4 linked regions of the Oryzias latipes genome follow. Each later gene encodes a partner of the first gene's protein in a complex. Links are inferred from orthologs where the notes say so. Each region holds a gene or a part of one and is shown on either strand. Other genes may lie near its edges.

Region 1 (4,374 bases):
AAAGTTTCTGGAGCTGGGAGGTGCTTACAGTTTAGGATGGGATTGCAGAGTCTGTGTGGTCCGATTAGGGCGATACACCCCGACAACAGATAAAAAATGACTCAGCAATTTAGTTAATTAACTCAATAGTTTTATGAAACTTTAACATGGAAATATTATAAATTAGTTATTAATTATGTATTAGTTTTATTTAAAAACATGCCCATGGTATTTCATCCGGTTAATTCATGTAATTATCTGTTATTAATACTTTACTAACACGTAACAGTGGCTAACTTCGGTAACAGTAAGACCGCCACAACCTTTCTTGTAGTTTTATGTCAGTGGAGGACGCTTCCATGCCCTGTGGTCCATGAGTGCTATGACATCACAATGGACGACTTTAACTCATTAATGTTCTCTAATTTTAGTTGTGGTTCTTGTGTAGGTAACGAAAGACATTTGTCAGGAATAAAAAACGACACAACTACACAACCCAGAATGCGTAGAAAGGGCAGGAAGAAGGCGATTGGTCAAAGGTGTTGATGGGATGTTTTTCTAGTCAATTGTGTGGTTATCCATGTGCACTTTGTCTATTTAATGTGCACGTATCACTCCGTCAGGCTCCTGACTACACTACCCATAATGCCCAACAATCCTAGTTCCCCAAAGTGGAACTAAAGCATTGACCGACTACAGAAAATAGGCTCTAGATCAGTAAACACAGCAAGAATTCATATTTAGGATGAACCAGACACCAGGGGGCACTGTCGCGTTAAAAAACAAGAACATCAAGCGCATCTGCTGGTCCCAAAAGAAAGTGACAAAAGTTGCTTTTCTACAGATAAATATTCAATTTTAAGGTACGAGCTTCCGTAATTGAATTGGCTGGTCATCTTGCTGACATTGATGCTGCATGTGATCATCTTCCTCCATGCTTGTTTGCCACATTTGACATAAAATAGTCCCGCAAAGCTTCAAAGTGTGTCGTAAACGACAATGCTTCATATAAAAACAGCAACACGCACCCCGACCAGCTCCGGAGCCCACCAAGGACTAGTTTGTACCGCAGAAGGTGGAAGGATACGTCCGCATCAACGTAGGACTGTAGGAGTCGGATCTCTCCCTGAGAGTGACACTCGTACAGAGTCACCTGCACAAAAACAAACAAACAACTTTAGGGTCCCGAAAAACTGATCAAGCTTTGGCATAACATTCAAACAAAACTGTAATGATTATTTGCTATATTATATAAGACATCACTAGCTGCCTTTCCATTTACTATGAAATTGCACAAACTGGATTTGAGAAAGTACATTTTTTCATTGGACGATGATTTCGTCTTCAGAACAATCGTAAAACGTTCATCCTTATTTGTTTTTTACTTGAGGAAATAGGTGACGTCGTACTTAATAATTTTTTTTAATAAGTAGCTAGCAAGTGTTCGGATTTCGTTAAAATCCAAGGCACTGGACAGTCCTGCACTATATAATTTTTTGTTAATTGTTCGGACATGGACTCGGTTCAGTTCTAATATACGGTCAATTTTACGATCTTTGGATTCAAAATGCTAGCACAGATTTGCGTGATTAAAACAAACATTGGATCAACATGAGGGAGAAATTACCCTGTTACTCCCAACGGTGGCAAACACAAGTGGGTCTCCTTCCTTGCTGTGCCAGTTGAACTGGACGCCAAACAGCGGCTGTCCGTGATCCTCCTGAACCTCGGTCAGAGGAAAATCGCCATTTTATTGTCAGTTCGTTTTTTAAAGCGTTGCAAACGTCGGATTGGCCAGCAGGGGGTGGACTCACCTTCAGACTGTTGACACATTTAAAGGAGTACCGACACTTCTTTGACTTCCACTTGCCCTTGCCCCAGCTCTTCTTGCCCGGGGCGTTGGTTGTGTTGGTGGGCGTGTCCGGGCGCTCCGCGTTCGTCCCGCTTTCCACGCTAACGGCATCGTCCTGTACACGCAATGTCAGGGTTTTTTTTGTTCAGAAACATACAAGTCCTCAAACAAATCCATTCCATCATGCATTTCACTTTTCATAATAAAAGCACAATATTTGAAAATTTTCAAAATAAAAGCTGCAAAACGAAATTGAAAATTTTCCATCTTTCACAGTTTGTTTCAAAATTTCCGTTGCTCTTCTCAAATTTACAGGTAATTGTATTGATTTAAAGTTCTAAATACATGTAAATAGGACACAATATGCAACAAAAATACAAGCAATATAAAATAATTTTCGCTTTAGCCTTTTAGTTACGTTGAGGACTTCAAATCTAACTAAAAAATTAGGACAACGGTTTGTGTGAGCCTTATTTGAAGACGAAATCACTTAGGTTTACTTGAAGAAATCTTTTTTTTTTATAAAATGGCCGAAAAACACTAGGATGCTCGTGCTAAGGCAAGCTAGCTACAAAATTAATTTCAAAGTAAAGCATGTTCGTGTCCAAAGCTGAAATGTACGTAACCTTTTAGTTTTGTTTGTTGTTTTTGTGACCATGAAGCTGCTTTTTGTAATCAACGGAGTTTCACATCTACAGGTGTTTAACCAAAACGGACAAAGATGCTAGCTTTAGCTGCTAATTTAGCAGGAAGCTAACGTGAACGGCGCGATTAAACATTCGTCGTTTTTAAAAAAAAACCACACACACACAGTCCGGTACCGGCTGCTCACATTCTCGTCTCCCGATAAGTCGGGGTTGCTGTTTTCGTCACTGCTTAGTTTTTGCTTTTTCGCCGCCGGTGTTTCTTTCGCCGCTTGCGACGGGGACTCGGACATGCTCTTATTTTCCCTCATTTTTCGGCACAGGGTCCCGCCTCTTCCGGTGCGCTGCCGCAAGGGCTGCTGGGAATGGGGGTTTTTAATGGACCTTCCCGTCAATAAGCGGGAAACAAAGAAAAAGAAATGTAATTTTTCCTGTGATTTATCAATGTTATGGTTACATTTGTGTTCAAAAAAATGTTTTTTAAAATGACGTAATTTACACGACGTGAATGAGCTAAATAAAAGTTGGCTGGCATTTTGATGACAAAAACTTATAAATTTTGGAAAGAAAAAAAACACAATATTGAGCATTTGACAGAAATTTATTTACGCACTTATCACTTCTTTTCCTTGAAAGACCCACTCTGATAAAAATGTTGTTCTCAACATGTTTTTGTAGGATTTTTCTGATAATGTAGTAGTCAAAAAGGAAATTAAATATAGTTTAAAATAGCATTTGAGTATTTCTTTATTCAAATAGTGAATCGGGAGCTCACGAAAAACTGCCATTTGACAAAGTTTGTAGTAGTGACAGAAAATATAAAGACAGCAAAGCATGCAATTGCGCATAGCCTTCGCACATGTTCAATGATGAAAATGTTGGTTTATTAAAAACATACATTTAAACTGTTTTTCGCAAAAAAAATTAAATGCAATGTTTATATTTGCCAATCTAGTGAATATTGATCTACACTGGTTTTTCGCAGACTTCTGGCAGATTTCTAGGGCACTCGATTTGGGAATTGTACATCCGGACAGTACAAACGGCAGCGAACGCACTATGTAGTGCACTAAGTCGTGAATAGCGAAGGAATTTGTACACAGCCTTAAATTTCAATTCGGAACAAAGCACAGTGGACTTACCAGTCATTTGTGAGCCAAGTCTAATGACTTTGAGTCGATGTCACAGCTTTGTCAAAGGTATGAGGTGGCTAAAATCCCCTAAACAGAGGAAATGCGAAAACTTCAATGCAACGGATAGGTCGGATCGTGTAGTCACAGTCCAATGCCTGTAGCACAGAATAATAAACTGCATAAATAGATTTGCAGAAGGGCCTAAATAATGTCCTGTGACATAGAGAGCTCCACTAGCTCTGCTGGACCCTGGGCATCGGAGGTCACTACTCTGTCCGGTAGCGTAGCTGGCTTGATTGCTCCAGTCAAACCAGATATTTTTTTCCATCCACTGATAGAGTCACTGAAAACATCACGTACCCAAAGCTGGGTCCCTGATTGGTTAACGTGCCGCATAATGGCACTAACATGGAGATTTTAAAAGGCAGTGAGCTAGCCGCTCTCCCAGAAACTATGTCCTAGAAAACGACTAGCTAAAAACAGCAGACTTTTCACTAAAAAAACCATTAAGAACATGTTAAAATAGTTTAAAAAATGATCGGAGAAGCAAAACCAAACTTTTTAACACCACATATATACATTTATTTTTAAAAGAGGTACAAAACAAGATTCTATTATTATAAAATGTTGCTTCTAAGAGACTTTCAAGCGGCTAAAGCCTCATGTCATCGTCATCCAAAGAGGCTTGGCTCATCTCCTCTGACGGTCCTTCATCTTCCTCGTCCTCCTGTGCCGCTGGCCTCTTCATCCCTCTCTGTTTGGACAA
Region 2 (4,139 bases), on another chromosome or scaffold:
CAATGAGCTCCTCCAGGAAAGCCTCGTCCTGTTCCAGTACCTCATCGCCCATGTAAGGGATGTTATGGAGGAACGTCTCATCCTCTACCTTCAGAAACACAAAAAAGGACGCAAGGCTCAGAGCTGTGTGTGAGTGTGTGCCAATGCCTCTTGTACAGGTTTCTCTCAAAAAAGAAATTTTATCTCAAGGGATTTCCTGGTAAAATAAAGTTTCAATCAAATCTGGATCAGCTAAAAGTTAATGAAAAATTGGATTGTAAATCCTCTCTCTCTCTCTCTCTATATATATATATATATATAAAACTTAAAGGAGATATTGAAAATAAAAAAAGTAAATTTATACTTTTAATATAAAAGAAAAGCACCTACACTATGAACCTAAAACTGTTACCAAATGATAAATGTTTGTTTATAATAGATGCTGTTTTGTGTTTTCAACTTTTGTTTTTTCGCTTCTCTCTGTCTTTGCTTTCAGTCCTCAATTCTTTTTATTAAGCCTTATTTGACATGGGGGTGGGGCTTTGAGCCCATTGGCTACCGGAGCATGATTGACATGTGGTGATAGAGATTCTGGTAACATAATTTCCACTACGAAACAGCGTCTGTTGATGGCGCGGCCGGTGTCATCTCTCCTCTAATGAAGCAGCTGTTACAAACAAATATTATTTTTCAGTTGCTTTTAGTTATATATTTCTTTTCATTCAAGTTTGAAACTTAAATTTTCAATATTGTATTGAGACTGCTCAGTTCTTCCCATTCTTTACATGTCAGTTGTCATGTTATTTTGTCCCAAAGATGACAATGATAGTGAAAAATGTCTTCATAATGTATAATTGCATGTGAAACAGCATCAAAAAATATTTGCCACTGTGTTAGAGGCCCTGTAAAAAATGATTTTCATGGGGCACAAAATCCCTAGCGGTGGCCCTCAGAAAAATGCCACATGAACGTGTTAAAAGCACCCAAAAGACAATTTTTGTTGGAGTGGGTGTTTAAGCTGATCCTTATTTGACCCCAATCAGAGAGTCATTGTTATCAAGGTAAGTTAAAATGACTGAAACTGCTCCCCAGTTATTGCACCACTCACATACCATGAAATTGTGCTGCAGGGGAGACCAGGAGTACATGAATGGGATCCCTGCCACTGTTGACAGTGGCCTCATGGCGATGGCTTGAGCTTTGAATCCTGGGAAACCAAACTCCACCGAACACATCTGAAAGAAAACCCAGAAAAACAGTCATTTTGGAGAACCTAGAGCAATATTCCTCATATATGGGCAGTTTCTAAACATCATCACCTTCTTATTAGCCAGTGCTACATTAGACACAGACAGCGGGATGGACTGAATCTTAAGCGTGGACCACTCTGAGTTAAGGACAGTAGTCTGCTGCTCAATCTTCTCCCGGTTGGATGAGAACAGGGTCTATAAAAACAGTAGAAATCCAAACACAGGTTTGAGTGAATGAGAAACAGGGACAAAGTACTTTATTAGTATTCAAATGGAAGATGCTGACACAACTCTAAATCTACCTTGACCTCGTCTGCTTTTTTAAGGCGTTTTAATTGGCGCAGGCGCATATACTCTGACTTGACCCTCCGCCTCCACTCCAGCAGGCTGCGGGACGGGGCAAAAGTGCAGGGCGGAGGCCTTGGCTGAGATGGGGCAACACTGGTACCAGGGGCAGGATGTGCTGTTTCCTCCATGACTGCAGGACAAACTCTGGCAAAACAAATGAGTCAAAGGTCAACTCACAATTCTGCCATAAAGAATGTGTTAAAGCAAACTGTTACCAGCTTCTTATAAAAAATATTTTTATGTATTTTTCCATTTTAGCTCATTTTTATAAATATTCCTCCATCTTCAAAGCCTGAAGGCGGTTTTAAAAAAAACAGAACACTTGCACTTTCCCATAAGCCACTGCTGCAGGTTTTTGCAAAACAGCGCCCCCCTCTGTTCGCAAAACAAAATTGCCATCTACTGGTAAAAAGCCCTTTTGAAGGGTGCTTTAAAATCTCAAGGTTACCCCATGATTATAGCCATACTTGGGGTAAAATAATAATAGTGAAACACGCGGAAAAAAGCCAACAGTCCAGGCATGCGTGCAAGCACGAAGTCCGTGGTTTTTTAGCCCACATTTCTAAAGAGTGGGCGTGCCTCGGCGGAGCAGAAAAGTGCGTAGCGCTGTTTTTTAGTGTTTCATAACCGCCTGCAAACATTTTCCCCAAAGATACAAGCTGAACACAGTGACAGATGAATAGCATATGAAAATGGAGCTCAGAAATTGTCGCCGTGGGTCTGATTTTCACGCGTAAACACGTTTCCACCACAGATACGCAGCGGGGCTTCGTCCTGAGGGTGCAGCCACAGCACCGTGGCGCACTACCGTGTCCATTTAAACCCAGAACACTTTTAAGACTTGCGCACTGACTCCTCTACAATGAAGGTTTTCCTGCACACGCGCGTGTGTGCGTCCAGATCCCCACGTCCAGTGTCGCAGTCACACACCTTTAAAATCCACGTCCGATTTTGGTGCAACGCGATCAAATCCCGGCGTTGGGAAGAAAAAAAAAAAGAAGGAAAAAAAATCGTTTGTGCTATGGATTAGACGAAAATATCGAGTCCAGAAGGCGAGAGGATCTCCGTGAAAGCAGCACGTTATCCAAACGCATGGTGCTGGAGGTTGTTGTTGGAGCGTACAAATAGCTGCGCACTTTGGTTGAACCAACCCGAGCACGAGGGTGACGTCTTTACTGCGACCAGAGCGCTTCCAAGCGGAGCTGGGATTTATGTCTATTCTGCGCCCTAGGAATAAAAAGTAGCGTGGAGCAGCAACGGCACAGCCATTACGCACACGCACAGGAACTGATGCAACTGCTTGAAGTACCATCTGAATGAATGACCCCTCTTCTTTGACCAAGGTGAAAAATAGAAAAACTAAAATGGAAATACAGCATCTATTTCAGTATCTACAATTAAGCAATTAAAAAAGGTCAAAGTGTAATTTATAGGGCTGTGTGGCTATAATAGAAATAACAATCGATCAAAAAACAAAAAAAAAAAAATGCAAAAACTGTTTTAACCAAATATAAATAGTCTTTCTTTCATTTCAGAATACAAATATCTGTAAGTGAGAGTTTCAGGTAAGACTTAATTGGTAACCAGCCTCCAGTTTTCTAACATTCCTTTGGACCTGTCTAAATATTTAGCTGCTGTTTTACATTTCTCCGGCAGGGGGAGCCCAATCTTATTATATTTAATGACCTGTTTATTTTTCTTTTTCTAAAATTGTCTCAAATACCTTATATACTCTACGAGTAAAATGGCGTGGTATAGTTTAATTAAATCACATTTCCAACAGTCAAAAATAATAACAGGTCTAACGTTTTGTTGCAGTGCTTGGATCTATTTCATTTGTAAATGTTTATGATTTGATTTTCAACAAAAGACTCCTGTCATAGCATGTAAAGGTTTTAATGTTTGAAGCCAAACTAATGCACATCGTTTATTCAACCTTACATACATTAAAAATCAGAATTTCAACCAAAAACACATCATCATATCTTGTTCCAGGATTTTATCACTTCTGTGGAGGTTTTTATAAATTATAAATAATCTCTGTGCATTTATTTTATTTTCTTCATTTTGGGAGATAAAAGTTCATAAACGTCCGAATTTTGAGACAATACTTCTATGAGACACAAGATGGCACTCTTCTGCTGCCAGTCATGGAATAATTTTACTTTTCTAACTCCTCATGCATTAAGACAACAATTTTTAACATCACATAACACATTGTGTTTCTTTTCTCTGCTCTGAACTGTTACACCACACCCGCTTGGGGTATTATTTATGCTTTTGGTTTGTGAAAGTGGTCATATTTCAGTCAACAAAGCACGCTTGGCAATTTAGAAGCAGTGTAGGCCGTTGCTAGCAACATGCTGATAATGAACTGTCAAAAGACAACAAACTGAATTTAGGAAGTGAAGACATTATCAGTTTTTAAAACTTGTGATGTTGTTGATTTTTGAACTTTCTATTGCAACTGGTTTCTTCAGATTTGGAACAAGACATTTCTAGTATCTGGAGCAAAAACTTGGTGAGGAAAAGGTTTCTAAAGCAGCTGATAAAAACTACAAC
Region 3 (4,334 bases), on another chromosome or scaffold:
CTGATTATTTCTTTGCCAGCCAGCCAGCAGGGTTCTGGATTGGTCAGCAACCCAGATGATCTGTTTAATTCTGTTATGTTGATGCATATCAGGGAAAGGCCAAGAGTTCAGGAGCAAAATCAGAACCTGATCACATTCATGTTTCCAGGTCACAAACTCTGCCTGCGGGTTTCTGACAAAAACACGAACCAAACATTTGTGCCAAGACAAAATAAAGGTGAGTTTTGCTGCAGAGTTCTGCGTTTGTTGTTCCTCACAGTGACAGAGTACAGATGACGTCTCACACGAGCAGTGACAAAGACTACGTCTGACCGCTGGTGCTCACCTCCACCTGTTTTTGAAGCTGTGCTGCTTGCTGCGCCGTCCTGCCGTCTCTGTACTGCTGGATAGCCAGCAGCAGAGACTTCAAACACGTCGTTGTGTCCATCTTGGGGGACTGTTATGACAAGTGCTAACGCCCGCTAGCAAGTTAGCTCAACGGCAAACACTAGTCGCGGGACAACCAATTTTCTTGCTGTGATTTGAAAAAAACAAACAAACAAATCCCGCTAACTTATTTTAGCACATTTATAGCTGTTCAGCCACTTCACTTTTCTACCATTCATTAATATCAACTAAAGCAAAGCGACGTCCTCCCGCTTCCAGGTTCGAACGAAGAAGGAATGAACCATGTCCAAAAAAGGTTGTTCGGGAAAGCTTTTTTTAACTGACTGGATGAACATCAAATTGCCTTCTAAATTAGTCTGTAGTATATTTTTTATTGAAAGTGGTGTTTTATATAAGGCCCATTAAATCGTCACCATTAAGTTTTCTATATAAACAAACAAACAAAAATTCTAAAAATCCCCCCTCCCCAATTTTATGGATATCACCCGAAGTGATGACGCAACAAGACAGGTAACCAATCACCGTCGTAGAGACATACACACATACAGACACACGCACGCACACACTCAAAAAGTAACAAAATATATTTTTTGTTAAATATGTAAAAAAAATATTTATCAAATGTTTTTTAACTTTTTTGTTACAAATTTTGCAAACTCACAAAGAGAATTCTGAAGTTAACCAATTAAGACATGAAGGAAAAAAAATTGAAAATGACTGAAAAAAATATTTTTCATACTTTTGGACATGAAAACAGCATAAACAATTTCATATTATTTTAGGATTGCTCCTAAATTAATTTAAATGTTAAATGATTAATCAATAATATTTATTATACAAATGTTTTATTGAAAACTTGTATTATAAATCTGTTGTGCTGTTTGTGCTAAACGTTTGTGCTTTATGTAACTGTTGTTTTATATTTTATTTCGTCAACAATTTGGAGAACAAAGAAAACCGGCGCACATGTCCCCACCGCAGGGCCCCAGCGATTCTCTGATTCTTATTGGTTATCAGTGTCGGGCCAGCTGACCTATCGTAAAAGGAGACACTGAAACGTCTAGGATAGACTTCTTTGATTGGTGCAAAGGGTTGGCGCCTCTTGAATCGATGCAAGCAAAGCGGGCGGAAAGAGAGACAGACAGGGAGCAGTTTGAACCGTGTTTGAGTGCAGGCGGAAATATAAAAATAACATCGTTGTTGTCAGGAGACAGATAATGTAACTGCTGGAAACTCAAATGAAAAAAAAAATATATAAAAACGGAATATTTAATTTAGATTCAAACGTAAAGTAAACGTTGTTTTTACCAAATTCGGTGACGTGAAGCCGGTTCTGGCGCTAAGTAAACCGCTCCGTCCCGCCTAGCTAACCGCTAGTTAGCCTACAAGCTAACATTACAGCTAGCAGTGACACGGAGCGGCTAATCTCCAACACAAAGGACGACTTTGCGTATCTCTACCGTTGCCATTCCGAATCTCTCCGTTGAATGAGGACTGAGCCTCCTGTACAGGTGAGGGCGGTTGTCACTGTGTCGAAATACAGCCCTTCCCTAGATCGGCCGAGTTTGTTCTCGGTTTGTGGATCTCCCCGTCTCTTTGTTAACCACCCGACTCGCTAGCTGAGCTCGCCAGGCTGTCGTGCCACATTTTGTATGGCTGTCAAAGAATAGACAGCTCCACTTACATCAGTTTTGTCATTTCTGATGAAGAAAAGTGCTGAAACATTTGCTCCCGGTGTTCTGAATTGATGAGTGTTCAAATGTAGGGAAACATGTCTATTTTTAACTTGAGTTACCGAGCTGTGCGGGCAGAGAAGCACGTTTTACGGAGCTAAACCGAAAGCCGGCTGATAAATGTGTTTCAAGAACCACTTGAGTCGTTTAGCAAGTTTCTTTTGTACAGAGGACAGGGTTACACACTTCAGCGACACAATGAAAATGTGGACAAACACCTGCTCGAAAGGATGCACGAACATTTCTATAATTTGACAACCAGTTTGTGTAATTCTTCCTGGTGGTGGCGATACTCATCTCATTTTATGAAGATGAGGATTGTCTTCAGGAAGTCATGAAAAGCTGTAGAGGATGTTGTGTGATCACCTAGTCTGTGCACCGACAATGAATAAAAAGAACACAGACCACACACACCTCACAACCTTTCAAGTTTAAAGTTCAGTTTTGTGAAATTGTTGATTAAACCTTTGATCATTTGAAACACCCACTCCATTGAAAAAGGTGTTTTTGGTGCTTTGAACATGTTCTTGTTGCATTTTCCTCACGAAGGAGGATAATTTAAACACAATTAACCATAAAACTGCACTTCTGAGTGTTTCTTCATTTAAATAGTTGTGTATCAGGTGCCGATGAGAAATGTCATTGGAAAAAGCTTGTAGGTGTGACATAGGTGCTACAGTAGGCAGGCCAAAGGCTTCCTGCTCCGCTCCATTCTGATGCATCCACCGTCAGATAGATAGATCCATGAACGTCTTTGTTTTCCTCGTCTGGGCTGACATCTGGATCTAAGCTGTACAGCTGGATAGCTCCAATGTTGCTTGCCATTTTTGTTGCACCGGTAATGTTAGTTTGGGGTTATGAGGGGCTGTAAGCTAACAGGCGACAGTAAACAGATGGATGATGGGAAGGCTTATTCCACACCAACAGTCCCGGCCACAACTTAAGAGCTGAATTTCTAAAAAAAAACTGCCGCTCTGCAGAAACTGTCCTAGAAAATGACTCGGGCATTTTGATTTTGGCAAAAAAAAATGAAAATAACCCATCATATTCATGACTAAAAGACCACTGGAAAGGCTTTGACAATCCATCAAAACAATAAAAGGCCTTTTTTTTTAAAGTGGGACTTAAAAATCTGCCTTTTTGTTTGGATAAAGTGTTGGTGAATACCAGGTTTATTGTTTTATTTCCAGGTTTTCGCCTTTTCCTTTTGATCAGAAAGTGCAAGTCTTTTTATTTCAGTTATGCCAACGTGTCATGGCGCTGCTGTTTGATGACAGGTGTCTGACACATCCGAGCTCTAGTGTGAGGTTTGAATCTGATTCACCGATCTGGCAGTAACTGCAGGGGCGGCAGATTGATCTCTATGCAAATGTTAAGACAAGATAAAGAGAAAACCATGAAAATCACCATAAACATTATTTTGACGAGTTAAAAACATTTAATTTACACCTCTGTCTTGTAGATCTTCCTTATTAAGAAACAGTAAGCAGAGAATAAACATTTAGAAAACTTGTAAATAAGCCTTTTATCTTCTTTGAGTGAAATCCTATGAGCTGGAATAGACTAGTTTTATTTTTTATTCTCAGGATTACAGTTGGGACGAAAAGAATCAGACAAAGCTGAAACTCGCAAGAATTTTAGCGAACGTCACCTCGCTATTTGACTTTGACCCTTCCTGCCTGAAAAGCTGATGGGATTAAATCTACACAGATTTTGTGTGTACTGTTGCAGGACTGTGTGTGGCTGCAGGCTGATCATGGGGACGGGGAAACGCTCAGACAAGGGTCCTGCCTGCTGGAAGAGGAGGGTAAAGTCTGAATACATGAGGCTTCGGCAGATGAAACGCTTTAGACGGGCAGACGAGGTCAAGGTTTGTACTCAAAGGTCTTCTTCATTTTGAAGCGGTCTTTATATTCATGTTAACACTGTTTCACGTTGATTATTTTTCTTCATTTTGTTGAAAAAATCTGTTATTCAAAAGTCCTGCAATAAAACTTTCGAGTTGAACAGTAATTAAAAATAATATTACTATCCAGATGGAGGGCGTTGGTGATCAGCATCTGACCTGCAGCTGGAAAATTGTAATGTTTTATTTAAATTATTTATATTTTGAATCATTGTGTGCGTTTCTAGATGAGTTTCAGACGCCTCAGTAGAGACGGCAAACAATTCTGTCTTATTGAATGATGTTGCGTGTTTTTGTTTCAGAAAGAA
Region 4 (3,618 bases), on another chromosome or scaffold:
AAGAGATGTGTGGAAGCTGATTTCTGTCCTCCTCCTGCAGGTGGCTGTGAAGTGGACCTGTCGCGCTTTTTCCAGCTCATCAACGACATGGGGGGCATGCAGCAGGTGATGGACCTGAAGAAGTGGACCAAGCTTGCAGACCTCCTGCGCATCCCCAAGTCCGCGCAGGACCGGCTGGCCAAGCTGCAGGAGGCCTACCTCCAGTACATCCTCTCCTACGACTCACTCAATGCCGACGAGCGCCTTCGACTGCTGGCAGAAGTGCTGGAAGACAAAAAGAGGCTGGAGTCGCGGCGGGGCCCCCTGGAGGGCCTCTCTGACTCCTCTGCACCCAACGGACTCTCGCTGCCCCGCTACGAGCCAAAGAACGGGCTGGTCGGCGGGATCGTGGGAGGGACGACCGGGCATCACCGCACCAACGGAGTCTATCACTGCTTGAAGGAACTGAAGGCTCAGGTCAAAGCGGGTCGGCGCCGGCTCTTCGCTCAGGAAAAACAAGGCAAAGAGGACAGGCAGCACGGGGAGGAGCCGCACTCGGGGCAGGAAAATGGGGGCTTGTTTGGCGACCAACACAAATGCATTTACAAGGTAAGGAGGAAGAAGCCGCGAAGGTTAAAACCCCAGATGAGAGGCAGATAGAAGAATGTCCGTTCCCTGGGTGTTTCCTGTTATGCCTGTCATGTGACTTTAAGTCAATAAGTGCTGCTAACACCTCTTATTGTCATTTAAAGGTGAGCAGTTTCCATCAACGGCAGGGAAGCATCAGTGGACGTTGCTTCCCCATAGCCTCATTTGCCTGAACTTTACTTTTTAGTCTAATCTTACTGATCAGACACACTTTTACACCGTCCACTAGTTTCTATTTTTTTCTATCCTGGCATTTTTTATCAGGTTTTTGCTGAAAAGCCCGTTGAGCTCGCTGCTTTTCGTCTGTTTCTTTTTTAACTGTCTGAGCTCATTCCGAATTGAGACAAACGTGAGGTGAAGTCCACCTTTCCTCAAATGACATCAGCAGGCCCCGCCCACAGCACGACTCTTTAACTTGTTAAGGAAACCCATTTGCAAACCTGAAAATAAGATTTATTCCACTGATAGTGGAAGTCGGAGCACCAAGGGTTCATTGGCGCTCTGACTTTACGCCCCTTTACACTTCCTTTCTTAGCCTAGCATCCTCTTGTGTGCATTTCAGTTCTATCCCATCAACTCAGAGGTTAAGGTAAAATAACCTACTTATGACTGAAACTGTATATTTTGCCTACTCTTTGATCAAAAATTCAGTTTTTTATGCTTCATCTGACTGTTTTTTTTGTCTTACTATATGAGATCGGAGCAGCTGACGCGCTGCTGCGGTTTCAAATCGTTCCAAATGTTCAGCAGAAGGTTTGGTTACCGAACAAAAAAAAGCAAAAAAAAAAAAAAGAAAAGAAAAAAAACAACAAAAAAAGAAAAAGTGCAACAAAAAAAAAAGCATTTCACTTTTCACTTCACAACATAGTGTGTCTTATTTCCTCATGAAGTGGCAGCAGCTTGTTGTGTCTTGAGGCGGTCTTCTCCGGCGATCCTTCGGTTTTTTCTTCAGCGCCTTTGGTCTTCCTCGCTCACACGTGTCGCGTTCCCATCATCACGTCCTGTGGGCAGCTGTGAGGATCTGGCCAGCTGAAATGTAGGTCAGAAGCCCCCACCCCACACCTATCCGACAGCCCCGCCCCCATCCCCAATGCTAACCCCCTTCCACTCTGTCTCTATGCGTTAGCTTCCCGTTTCTACCCGGCAGCCCTCCCTCCTCGCGGTTTCTCCATCGGCAGATGACCTCGCTCTTTGTCGCCTCTCATCACTTTAACCCTAAACGCCTTTTCTTTCTCTTTGGAGATGACTTGTTTTGGTGTAAAGGCGCGGGGATTTGAGCGGAGGCTGTCAGTCACTGCGTGAAAGCGGCGGCCATGTTTGTCTGCTCCTGTGGCTCCTCTCCCCACACACCCAACGCCCCAAATCTGAGGCTCTTTTGATTCCAGTCTCTGTTGCTTTGGTAACGCCCGCCCCATTTAATAGAGTGAGTCGACCCGGAGTGATCAATAGACCTGTGAGGGACAGAGTCACACGGGAAGGGCCGTCCCACCTGGACAGGACAGGACAGGCTTGTCTTTAGTGTATGAAGGTAGAGTTTCACTAACTGCAAAACAGAATGGTAAGACGGTAAAAAAACATCCTTAGTTTTTGCCTTATCAAGAAAGTCTGTCAATAGCAAAATAATCTTAGTTCGTGAAAATCTTTCTTAGGTAAGACCTTTTTTGTTAACCCCATTGGCAGATTTGTTTTTTGCCTATTTAAAGCAAATCTACTTCTGGGTTAGAAATGTTGGACTTGTTTCTGTCATTGCAGTGAGGATAGCGTTAGACAGTGCAGGAGACGGTGTTGTTGGTGCTGAGCGGTCAGCTTGCTGTAGAAACGGACACGCGTGTTCCTCCGTCTGGCAGTGAAGGAGTCCATTGATGTCCAGCTGTCTTTTTTTAACTCATTGTTTTATTCAGCTTCAGCTCTTACTTTGCAAATCCCATCAACCCCCTGATCATCATCCCTTCCAGTGTTTGACATTATGTTTTGGTTGCAGGGGAAATCTGTGTCCTTGACCAACTTCTTCAGGATAGCTCGCAACACCATGACCATGTGCTTTAACAAGGAGCCGGGGGCCGCCGAGGTCGAGGTCAGCGCCCGATGTTTGACGTGGTCGTGGACTCGCCATCTTCCCCTGAAGTGAGATCGGTGCTAAAATCATGATTTGTATTTTCTTTTTTCTGTCTTTCAGCAAGAATACTGGAGGATTGTAGAGCAGAGAGACTCCCACGTGGCAGTGCATTGTGGGAAGGTGGACACGAGCACACACGGCAGCGGTTTCCCCACAGGAAAGTCAGAGCCATTCTCAAAGTGAGTGTCGTGTTTGAGGCGCCGGGCGTGGCGCCAACGTGACGCCCTGAAGCACAAACGCAGGACAAATCTCTGTTTTCTGTCTTCTCAGACACGGTTGGAACCTCACTGTCCTCCCCAATAACTCTGGATCCATTTTGAGGCATCTAGGTGCTGTGCCTGGTAAGGATCGGCCTCTCTGTTCCAAAGCACTCTAAACTTTTTGAATTTCTATTTCATGCCTTTATGAATGGCGCCTAATGCTTTGCTGTGTCTTGTGTCTTTGCAGGAGTGACTGTTCCCTGGCTAAACATTGGCATGGTCTTTTCTACCTCATGCTGGTCTAGAGACCAAAACCGCCTTCCATATATTGATTACTTACACACTGGTGCTGATTGCATTTGGTAAGTAGAGTTGGTGCTTCTGCTCTCCTCTCATAAAGTCCTCAGCTAAATGGTTTTTGCCGTCCTGGCAGGTATTCTGTCCCTGCTGAGGAGAAGGCTAAGCTGGACGAGGTGGTCCACACACTGCTTCAAGCCAACGGCACGCCAGGACTAGAAATGCTGGAGAAGAACATCATGGTGACTGTTTTCTCCAGCTTTTTCTTTGGATCCTGTTTGAAGTTGCTGCTTCGGTCGATGACCGCTGTTCTTCCTCTGGCAGATCTCTCCAGAGGTGCTATGCCGGGAAGGCATCAAGGTTTACCGCACGGTCCAG

The links.
Region 2: the proteins of eed (region 1) and ezh1 are in contact, whole or in part, in a cryo-EM structure (PDB 7KTP), measured with the Homo sapiens proteins. The link is inferred for Oryzias latipes from reciprocal best matches to the Homo sapiens genes EED and EZH1. Residues at the interface, in NP_003788.2 of Homo sapiens: Cys84, Val85, Asn86, Ser87, Leu88, Lys89, Glu90, Asp91, Trp103, His104, Ser105, Lys106, Glu107, Val112, Arg120, Leu123, Tyr124, Gln129, Gly130, Glu131, Ile132, Arg133, Leu134, Leu135, Gln136, Ser137, Tyr138, Val139, Asp140, Tyr154; in NP_001982.2 of Homo sapiens: Gly37, Ala38, Lys39, Leu41, Tyr42, Val43, Asn45, Phe46, Lys48, Val49, Gln50, Lys52, Thr53, Gln54, Leu56, Asn57, Glu59, Trp60, Leu63, Arg64, Val65, Gln66, Pro67, Val68, Gln69, Ser70, Met71, Cys83, Thr84, Ile85.
Region 3: the proteins of eed (region 1) and ezh2 are in contact, whole or in part, in a cryo-EM structure (PDB 8VMI), measured with the Homo sapiens proteins. The link is inferred for Oryzias latipes from reciprocal best matches to the Homo sapiens genes EED and EZH2. Residues at the interface, in NP_003788.2 of Homo sapiens: Val85, Asn86, Ser87, Leu88, Lys89, Glu90, Asp91, Trp103, His104, Ser105, Lys106, Glu107, Asp109, Pro110, Val112, Arg120, Thr122, Leu123, Tyr124, Glu125, Gln129, Gly130, Glu131, Ile132, Arg133, Leu134, Leu135, Gln136, Ser137, Tyr138; in NP_001190176.1 of Homo sapiens: Arg34, Glu37, Val38, Lys39, Met41, Phe42, Ser43, Asn45, Arg46, Ile49, Arg52, Thr53, Ile55, Leu56, Asn57, Glu59, Trp60, Lys61, Arg63, Arg64, Ile65, Gln66, Pro67, Val68, His69, Ile70, Leu71, Glu82, Cys83, Ser84.
Region 4: the proteins of eed (region 1) and jarid2 are in contact, whole or in part, in a cryo-EM structure (PDB 6C23), measured with the Homo sapiens proteins. The link is inferred for Oryzias latipes from reciprocal best matches to the Homo sapiens genes EED and JARID2. Residues at the interface, in NP_003788.2 of Homo sapiens: Pro95, Phe97, Tyr148, Arg306, Asn307, Tyr308, Cys324, Asp362, Ile363, Trp364, Tyr365, Arg414, Asp430; in NP_004964.2 of Homo sapiens: Pro109, Gln114, Arg115, Lys116, Phe117.

The regions. Positions count from the first base shown.
Region 1 is NC_019860.2:2,260,052-2,264,425, forward strand, and holds the start of eed (polycomb protein EED), read right to left. Parts: upstream 2,814-4,374; 5' UTR 2,787-2,813; coding exon 2,664-2,786; intron 1,947-2,663; coding exon 1,794-1,946; intron 1,706-1,793; coding exon of another isoform or gene 1,700-1,705; coding exon 1,607-1,699; intron 1,133-1,606; coding exon 1,067-1,132; intron 1-1,066. Other genes in the region: periodic tryptophan protein 2 homolog, read right to left, coding at 4,261-4,374. UniProt on the Homo sapiens protein: Polycomb group (PcG) protein. Component of the PRC2/EED-EZH2 complex, which methylates 'Lys-9' and 'Lys-27' of histone H3, leading to transcriptional repression of the affected target gene.
Region 2 is NC_019866.2:6,666,079-6,670,217, reverse strand, and holds the start of ezh1 (histone-lysine N-methyltransferase EZH1), read right to left. Parts: upstream 2,843-4,139; 5' UTR 2,508-2,842; intron 1,722-2,507; 5' UTR 1,706-1,721; coding exon 1,538-1,705; coding exon of another isoform or gene 1,532-1,537; intron 1,425-1,531; coding exon 1,299-1,424; intron 1,215-1,298; coding exon 1,092-1,214; intron 89-1,091; coding exon 1-88.
Region 3 is NC_019878.2:3,254,685-3,259,018, reverse strand, and holds the start of ezh2 (histone-lysine N-methyltransferase EZH2), read left to right. Parts: upstream 1-1,499; 5' UTR 1,500-1,898; intron 1,899-3,851; 5' UTR 3,852-3,876; coding exon 3,877-3,990; intron 3,991-4,156; coding exon 4,157-4,201; intron 4,202-4,334. Other genes in the region: protein CIP2A, read right to left, coding at 326-427. UniProt on the Homo sapiens protein: Polycomb group (PcG) protein. Catalytic subunit of the PRC2/EED-EZH2 complex, which methylates 'Lys-9' (H3K9me) and 'Lys-27' (H3K27me) of histone H3, leading to transcriptional repression of the affected target gene.
Region 4 is NC_019869.2:23,737,112-23,740,729, reverse strand, and holds part of jarid2 (protein Jumonji), read left to right. Parts: intron 1-40; coding exon 41-588; intron 589-2,608; coding exon 2,609-2,701; intron 2,702-2,803; coding exon 2,804-2,922; intron 2,923-3,013; coding exon 3,014-3,084; intron 3,085-3,190; coding exon 3,191-3,305; intron 3,306-3,376; coding exon 3,377-3,482; intron 3,483-3,564; coding exon 3,565-3,618.